Linked DNA regions of Macaca fascicularis. Each later gene encodes a partner of the first gene's protein in a complex. Links are inferred from orthologs where the notes say so. Each region holds a gene or a part of one and is shown on either strand. Other genes may lie near its edges. The genes, in order: VASP and PFN2.

Region 1 (3,803 bases):
AATCTCCACCTCCTGGGTTTGAGTGATTCTTCTGGGGGACAAGAGTGAGACTTCATCCCAGAAAAAAAAAAGAGCCTCCTGAGTAGCTGGGGTTACAGGCATGCGCCACCATGCCCAGCTATTTTTTTGTATTTTGTTTTTATTTTTATTTTTTTATTTTTTTGAGACAGAGTCTCGCTCTGTCGCCCAGGCTGGAGTGCAGTGGCGTGATCTCGCCTCACTGCAACCGCCGCCTCCCGGGTTCAAACGATTCACCTGCCCTAGCCTCCCGAATAGCTGGGACTACAGGCGTGAGCCACCACACCCGGGTAATTTTTTGTGTCCTTAGTAGAGACAGGGTTTCACCATGTTAGCCAGGATGGTTTCGATCTCTTGACCTCGTGATCCGCCCGCCTAGGCCTCCCAGAGTGTTGGGATTACAGGTGTGAGCCACCACGCCTGGCCTTTGTAATTTTAGTAGAGAAGGGGTTTCACCATATTGGCCAGGCTGGTTTTGAACTCCTGGCCTCAAGTGATCCACCTGCCTCTGCCTCCCAAAGTGCTGGGATTATAAGTGTGAGCCACCACGCCCAGCCACCTGGATCATTTCAAAATTGCTTTTTTACTTTTTGTGGAGATGGTCTACAGGCTGGTCTCAAACTCCTGGGCTCAAGTGATCCACTTCAGCTTCCTAAAGTGCTGGGATTGCAGGCATGAGCCACTACACCCAGTCCAGTTGCTTTTCTTTTTTTTTCTTCCTTTTTTTTTTTTTTTGATATGGAGTGTCTGTCTGTCTCAGGCTGGAGTGCAGTGGTGTGATCTCGGTTCACTGCAACCTCTGCCTCCTGGGTTTAAGCAATTCTGCCTCAGCCTCCCGAGTAGATGGAACTACAGGTGCATACCACCATGCCTGGCTAATTTTTGTAGTTTTAGTAGAGACGGGGTTTCGCCACGTTGGCCGGGCTGATCTCGAACTCCTGACCTCAGGTGATCCACTCGCCTTGGCCTCCCATAGTGCTGAGATTACAGGAGCAAGCCAGGCGCCCAGCCCAGTTGCTATTTCTTAAACCTTAACATGCACATGAATCACCTGGGGATATGGTTACAGTGCAGGCTCCGGTGCAAATGGGCTAGGGAGACTGAGACTCTGCATTCTCACAAGTGCCCTGGTGATACCGAGGCTGCTGGTCCGCGGATGTGACTGAGTAGCGAGGTTTTATGTCACTGCCATGCATCTGGCCTGGAATCACTGCTGTAGAACTGAAAGTCACCAAATGCAGCGGTGTTTGCTTTGTGGGGCAACTTCTGTGCTAGTGCGGAAGGGGTTTGCTCCTCTGGGGCACACAGAAAAATACAGTGCGCTTCAGTGTAGTCATCTGTAAAATGGGGCTAATTCATGTTAATTCATAGCCAATTCAATTCAGGTGGGTGCTGGGGCCAGCGGCCTGGAGGTAGGTGAGGAAGAAGCTCTTTACCTTTCCAGGTTCTTAGGTAAGGTCCAAGTGGCTGTGACAGTGGTTAAGAGCTGACCAGGGGCCAGGTGCAGTGGCTCACGCCTGTAATCCCAACACTTTGGGAGGCCGAGGCGAGTGGATCACTTGCGGTCAGGAGTTTGAGACCAGCCTAGCCAATATGGTGAAACCTCATCTCTACTAAAAATACAAAAATTAGCCAGGCATGGTGGCAGGTGCCTGTAATCCCAGCTACTCAGGAGGCTGAGGCAGGAGAATCTCTTGAACCCGGAAGGCGGAAGTTGCGGCGAGCTAAGATCACACCATTGCACTCCAGCCTGGGGGACAAGAGCGAGACTTCATCTCAAAAAAAAAAAAAAAAAAAAAACGAGCTGGCCAGGTGCTGTGGCTCATGTCTGTAATCCCAGAACTTTGAGAGGCCGAGGTGGTTGGATAGCTTGAGCTCAGGCGTTTGAGACCAGCCTGGGTAACATAGCAAAATCCCATCTGTACAAAAAAAAAATGATTAGCCAGGCGTGGTGAAATGTGCCCGTAGTCCCAGCTACTCGGGAGGCTGAGGTTGGAGGATCACCTGAGCCTGGGGAGACTGAGACTGTGGTTAGCCGTGATTGCGCCACTGCATTCCACAGCCTGGGTGACAGTGAGACTCTGTCTCGAAACAAACCAACAGTGGTTAAGAGCCTGGCTGCTGGAATCGGCCTGAATTCAAGTCTTGTTCCTGCACATTCCAACCTGGAGAACTTTGGGGCAAGTGACTGTCCCCTGGGCCTTAGCTTCTCCTGTCACTGGGACATCACAACAACACCTGCCTTAGGGCAACTCAGGCCAGGGAGGCTGGTGCTGCCTCACCTCCCAGGGTGTGTCCTCCTGGGCCTGGAGCCTCAGGGCCTCAGGAAGGAGGAAGTGAGTGCCCCTGGGCAGGATTCCTGGGAGGCCTGGAAGAGCAAGGGAAACGCCAAGGGCTGAGCAGAGTTCCGGGACTGACTTGTGGCCCTTTCTCTCTCACCTTCCAGGAGGTGGGCCCCCTCCACCCCCAGCACCTCCCACCTGGTCGGTCCCGAACGGTCCCTCCCCGGAGGAGGTGGAGCAGCAGAAAAGGTGGGGCTGGGCCCTGGGTGGGGAACCTTAGCCACGGCCAGTTCCATACGTTCTGGAACCCTTGACTCCTAGAGTTCAGAACCCAGCCAACTTGCAGTTTTCAGAATGTTCAAGAAATTTCTGACACTGAGAGTTGCAGAACCTCCTGGTCCCTGCAGATTCCTGGAAATCAGAATATGGTGGTTGAAAGAATCTCGTGGCTGGGCGTGGTGACTCACCCCTGTAATCCCAGCACTCTGGGAGGCTGAGGCGGGCAGATCACCTGAGGTCAGAAGTTTGAGACCAGCCTGGCCAACACGGTGAAATCCTGTCTCTACTGCAGATACAAAAATTAGCCGGGCATGGTGGCGCCCGTGCCTGTAATCCCAGCTTGGGAGGATGAAGCAGGAGAATCGCTTGAACCTGGGAGGCGGGGGTTGCAGTAAGCCAAGATCGAGCCACTGCACTCCAGCCTGGGTGACAGAGTGAGACTCTGTCTTTAAAAAAAAAAAAAAAAAAAAAAGAATCTTGGGCATTTTGTCATTCGGGTGTTCCTGACAGTTTAGTGACTGAGATCTTGCATTCAGATCTCTCCCTGTCACTGCCCTGCCCTCCATTCCCCCCACTCTCACCCACCCCCATTCTTGGTTCCCTAGGGGAGGAAGGCTTGGGTGAGGATTAGGAGCCAGCGTCCCTGGAGACCTCTGAGAGAGAGGATGGAGGTCGCTGGCCCCTTCCCTGGTCATCCTTAGGGCCCTGATTGACGGCAGCTCCCTCGCCTCCCCCTACAGGCAGCAGTCCGGCCCGTCGGAGCACCTAGAGCGCCGGGTCTCCAATGCAGGTGATGCTCAGATGGCTTCGGGAGTTGGGAGGGGGCCTCCCTGGAGGAAGAGGCCAGCTAGCTGGACAGTGAAGAACGAAGCTTCTCTTTCAGCTGCCCCCTTTTCTGTGTTTGTTTCAGGAGGCCCACCTGCTCCCCCAGCTGGGGGTCCACCCCCACCACCAGGACCTCCCCCTCCTCCAGGTCCCCCCCCACCCCCAGGTTTGCCCTCCTCGGGGGTCCCAGCTGCAGCACATGGAGCAGGGGGAGGACCACCCCCTGCACCCCCTCTCCCGGCAGCACAGGGTCCTGGTGGTGGGGGAGCTGGGGCCCCAGGCCTGGCCGCAGCTATTGCTGGAGCCAAACTCAGGAAAGTCAGCAAGGTGAGGGGCCAGGAGAGGTGGGAAGGGGCAACAGGGCTTTTATGGGGGATGAGGCCAGGGCTGCCGGCGGTG
Region 2 (4,367 bases), on another chromosome or scaffold:
TTACAAGTAATCTATTATTAGCTTTTAAGATGATACAGTGCTATGATCGAAGGACTAAAATGATCAACATCACCATAAAAGGCAGTTATAAACAAGAACAATTAAGTGTAATTAAATTAGGTGGGAGGCACACTTAGAGAAATGAAACAATTTTTGGCTCACATTTTACACCACACAGGTATTCTGTATCTTTAGAACATGAGAAAATACATATTCTCAGTCTGATAGGTCTCCGACTTGGGGGTTCTTTTACTGTACTTTTTTCTCTCTAGTAGCCGAACATTTTAAAGGAATCAGCAGAAAAAACATCAAACTTCAGAACCAATTAGACTTTTAAAAGCAACGTTCTTGCCCTTTCCAGAGATACATGCCTTAATCCTCCTACAAATCATGACCTTACACGGTAACTTTAAGGGTGAACATCAACTTATCTACATTTTGGCGCTTGCTTTCCCTAAGTGGCAGATGGTTTCTATTAACCTAAAATTGAAGTCCTTGTTGGGGGACCCCTAATTCCATGTCTAGTCCTAGTGCCCAGAGGCTACCAAAGACGATACGAATAGCTTCTCAGGCACTCCACCCACCATTTACCTTGTTAATGCAAATCTCGCCCAGACCTGGGTCCCGAAATTATTTTACCCTGCAGAACAGAAATGTTATGGTGTTCATTCAGTGAACTCGTCCCTAGTTTTTAATCTTTGTATTTTCTGCGTATACTTCGAGCCACCAGTAACTTTCCCAGTTACCAAGAAACAGTGTAACACAGGTCGCTATTTGTTTTGTTCGGAATTTACGAGCCATTTAAGCACACACGTGATTAGCAACACTAAGGGGGCTCTTCCAGGCAAAGAATCCACAGAATGAGAGGCCCTTGGTACCCAAATGAAGCAACAATGAAAGATCGGCGAAGCTCAGCAAGGTGCCTGAGCGCCACGGACGCCTGCTCTGATTTCAGGTTGCCGGCGCGCGCCCGCGGGTCTGCCTTTATGGGCGAGGCGCAAAAGGGCTCCAGGAAAGAGGGCGCCCTTAGGGGCTCGGAGATTAGCGTGGGCGACCCTGCCACCAGCCGCCCCCACCACAAAGAAGAGGAAACGCTCCGCATCCCGTCACCAGGGCAACTCTGCAACCCGACACCAAGGCTCAAGATTCCGCATCCCGGGCAGCGGACACAGAAGAAAAGCACATCGCGGCCCGGCCGCGGGGCTCCAAGGCGTCCCTGCGGCTGCTGTTCCTAGGGTGCCGAGAGCGACGCGGGGGCCACCCCTCTCCGCCGGCCCGGGGTCCGAAGATCGGCCATCCGCCGCAACGCCACCGCGCCCGGCCGGCGCCTGCCGCACGTGGCGGCCGTGATTGTCCCGGGGCGGTATCCCTCCGCGCCCCCGCCTCAGTCTCCCCCCGCCCTTCCCGGGACCCTCCGTGCCAGGGCGCCGCGGAAGGATCGCACGCACGCGCGCGCGCACGCCCCGCCGTATCCGCGGAGAACGGAGGGCGCTGCGGTAAGGAGCAGCCGCCGCCACCACCACCGGCACAGCCGCTCCGCAGCCTCCCGCCGCTGGTTAGTCAGCCCCGCGGCTGCGGGCGGCCGGGTGGCCGGGCGCGCTCTGAGGTTCGTCCCTCATCGCTGAACCCGCGTCCTCCCTCCGCGGCTCCTCGGGGAGGGGGGCGGTCGGTGCCTGCGCAGAGCCGCCTCCTCCCCGCCCCCGCCCCGCCTTCCCCCGCGCCGCCGCCGCCGCCGCCGCCCGCTACCGCCGCCGCCGCCGCCGCCGCGCCTGCTGCTCCTCGCCGTCCGCGCTGCAGTGCGAAGGGCTCGAAGATGGCCGGTTGGCAGAGCTACGTGGATAACCTGATGTGCGATGGCTGCTGCCAGGAGGCCGCCATTGTCGGCTACTGCGACGCCAAATACGTCTGGGCAGCCACGGCCGGGGGCGTCTTTCAGAGCATTACGGTGAGGACCAGTGGCGGCCGGGACCCTGGTCCCTGCACCGGAGTGGGGTTGGCGGGCCGCGGGGGCACCGCAGCGCGGGGCCGGAACACCGAGGGCCGAGCCCGCAGGTGTGCTAGGCAGCGGGCGCCGAGGATGCGGCTGCCGGGCAGGCTGGGAGGCCGAGGCCCGGAGACGCCCCCTCACCCGGGGCTGCGCTGACAAGCGGGGGCGGCGGCCAGACTCCTTGCTGGCCCTCGCCGGGCGTCCCCGGCGTTCCCAGCGTGGGTCCAGGTGCCCGGGTTGGGGGAGGGGGCACGCACCAGCCAGGGCAAGGGGAGGGTTTCCTTTTTTCCTGCTAGTGCGGTTCCCCTAGGTTCTCTTGAAGCCCTGAGGTTTGCTATGCACGTCCTGGGGTGGAAGCGGGGGTCGGGGATCCGGGCCGGGGAGCGCGGGCCCCGGGTAGAGGTCCCCAGGCTTCTTGGCCGCCTCTTGCTCGGCGGACAGCTAGCCGCCCGCGCCTCCGGCTGTGGGAGGCGGTGGCCCCGACCCGGCCCCCGGGATTCTCGAAGCGACTTTGCGTAGGTTTGCCGATGTCCAGGCCTCTGGGGCTTGCGAGAGATGTGCGCCGACCGCGTAGGTGGATTCGTGAATCTCGACTTCAGCTGTAGCTCTATAGGTTGTTTTTTTTTTTTTTTTTTTTTTTTTTTAATTCTCCAAGATGGCGAACTGCCATTGATTTCTCTCCTTCTCATATGGAGATTCATCGATATACGGTTATCCCCAGTTACGCAACATAGCTCAAAAAAGGGGTGCTTTTCGGGGGCTTTCAATTATCTGCGAAGACCAGGAGCACACTTCACTTCTCCAAGTCCCTCCCTCTTTAGTGGTGGCAGTAAAGGAACTAATGCAGTTTTATGCTTCACATTGCCTGATTTTCTTGAGACTTGATGGTTTTGAGTTGGTTGCAGTATGTTTGGGGAATATTTGCAAGTAAGCCTCCAGCTTATTGTTTTGCCTGTTTCTGCCCAAGGCTGTTTCTAAAATTATGATAATTGTATTAAATACGAGACCATTCCTTTAATTTCTTAGCACCACGCTCCCTTCCCATTAAACACCAAAATTCAGGTCCCCTATTATGGGTGCTAATTATTCTTTTGCCACTTAACGTGGTTTAAAGTCTGACTTTAGAACTCAGTCCTTGATGCTAGTACTTTAAGGTCTCGTATACCCGCAGTGGACTACAATTCTTGTAGGGAATTGGCATCTGGTCATCAACTTTTTTCCTGCAGTCCTCTTGTCTTTGTGTGTGAGTTCCCGCTGTCTGACGAGGAAGATTGCGGGAGTGTGCTTGGAAATGGCTGGGGCCTGCTATGACTCTGCAGTTCTGATGGGGGCGACGCCTTCCTTCTTATTCATGGAATGTTAGAATGCACGTTTTCTCCTTTCCGGTTCTGGTGGCTACCTCAGTTTCTTTCCCAATCTCCCTCCATTTTCTCTGTTTTACTATTGCCTACCGCAGTGCTGTAGACAGAATCCACTTTGCGTTTGCCCAGAAAGAAAACTGATTACTGAGATGGGAGGGGAAGGGAGGTTGGAAAGAAACAGGAGTCGTGGCTAGAAAAATAGGAGGGAAATATGAATTTGGAAAAGCACTGATGTTCGGGGATTGAAGTCCATATCATCAGGTATATTTCTAGTTATTCCAAGCAGAGAAGTGAACAAATCAAAGAACAGGCTTTATTTTGGGAGACTTTGAAGCAACTTTAAATGTGATGAAACATGATTTACTGTAATGGGACTGAATATGATAGACCAGCTGTGTTCAAAGAGTTGATAGCTGAATTTTTACCATTACGTGAACACTTTCAGGCACCAGCTGACTTAATACAGTTTATAAATAACTCTTTAAGTTTGCACTTTGTCTAGTGTCAACTATCAATTATTTAGAGTTTCTTTATATAGACTGGTCTTGGTTAAGAGACGACACCGTTAACTGAAATCAAATCAACTGATGTAAAAGATGTGATTATATAGAATTAAGTAATTATTAAGAAAAGACCGAATCTTGGTTTTACGTTAGTGAAATGTGGCTGTCTGGCATGGCACACAGCCTTTCCTGTTAACATCAAGCCCTAAAAGGAATTAACTACAACTTCATGTTTTTTTTTTTTTTTCTTTCTGGTGGGGGACAGCCAATAGAAATAGATATGATTGTAGGAAAAGACCGGGAAGGTTTCTTTACCAACGGTTTGACTCTTGGCGCGAAGAAATGCTCAGTGATCAGAGATAGTCTATACGTCGATGGTGACTGCACAATGGACATCCGGACAAAGAGTCAAGGTGGGGAGCCAACATACAATGTTGCTGTCGGCAGAGCTGGTAGAGGTAAGTAAGGCATTCTTTTGGTTAAAAGTTGCATGCCACGTTACAACTTATTAAGCAG

What was found.
Region 2: the proteins of VASP (region 1) and PFN2 are in contact, whole or in part, in a crystal structure (PDB 2V8C), measured with the Mus musculus proteins. The link is inferred for Macaca fascicularis from reciprocal best matches to the Homo sapiens genes VASP and PFN2. Residues at the interface, in NP_033525.2 of Mus musculus: Gly165, Pro166, Pro167, Pro168, Pro169, Pro170, Gly171, Pro172, Pro173, Pro174, Pro175, Pro176; in NP_062283.1 of Mus musculus: Gly3, Trp4, Ser6, Tyr7, Asn10, Cys13, Tyr30, Trp32, Met131, Tyr134, Ser138, Phe140.

The regions. Positions count from the first base shown.
Region 1 is NC_088393.1:53,581,887-53,585,689, forward strand, and holds part of VASP (vasodilator-stimulated phosphoprotein), read left to right. Parts: intron 1-2,464; coding exon 2,465-2,549; intron 2,550-3,319; coding exon 3,320-3,369; intron 3,370-3,489; coding exon 3,490-3,731; intron 3,732-3,803. UniProt on the Homo sapiens protein: Ena/VASP proteins are actin-associated proteins involved in a range of processes dependent on cytoskeleton remodeling and cell polarity such as axon guidance, lamellipodial and filopodial dynamics, platelet activation and cell migration.
Region 2 is NC_088376.1:52,800,514-52,804,880, reverse strand, and holds the start of PFN2 (profilin-2), read left to right. Parts: upstream 1-1,476; 5' UTR 1,477-1,813; coding exon 1,814-1,945; intron 1,946-4,116; coding exon 4,117-4,309; intron 4,310-4,367. UniProt on the Homo sapiens protein: Binds to actin and affects the structure of the cytoskeleton. At high concentrations, profilin prevents the polymerization of actin, whereas it enhances it at low concentrations. By binding to PIP2, it inhibits the formation of IP3 and DG.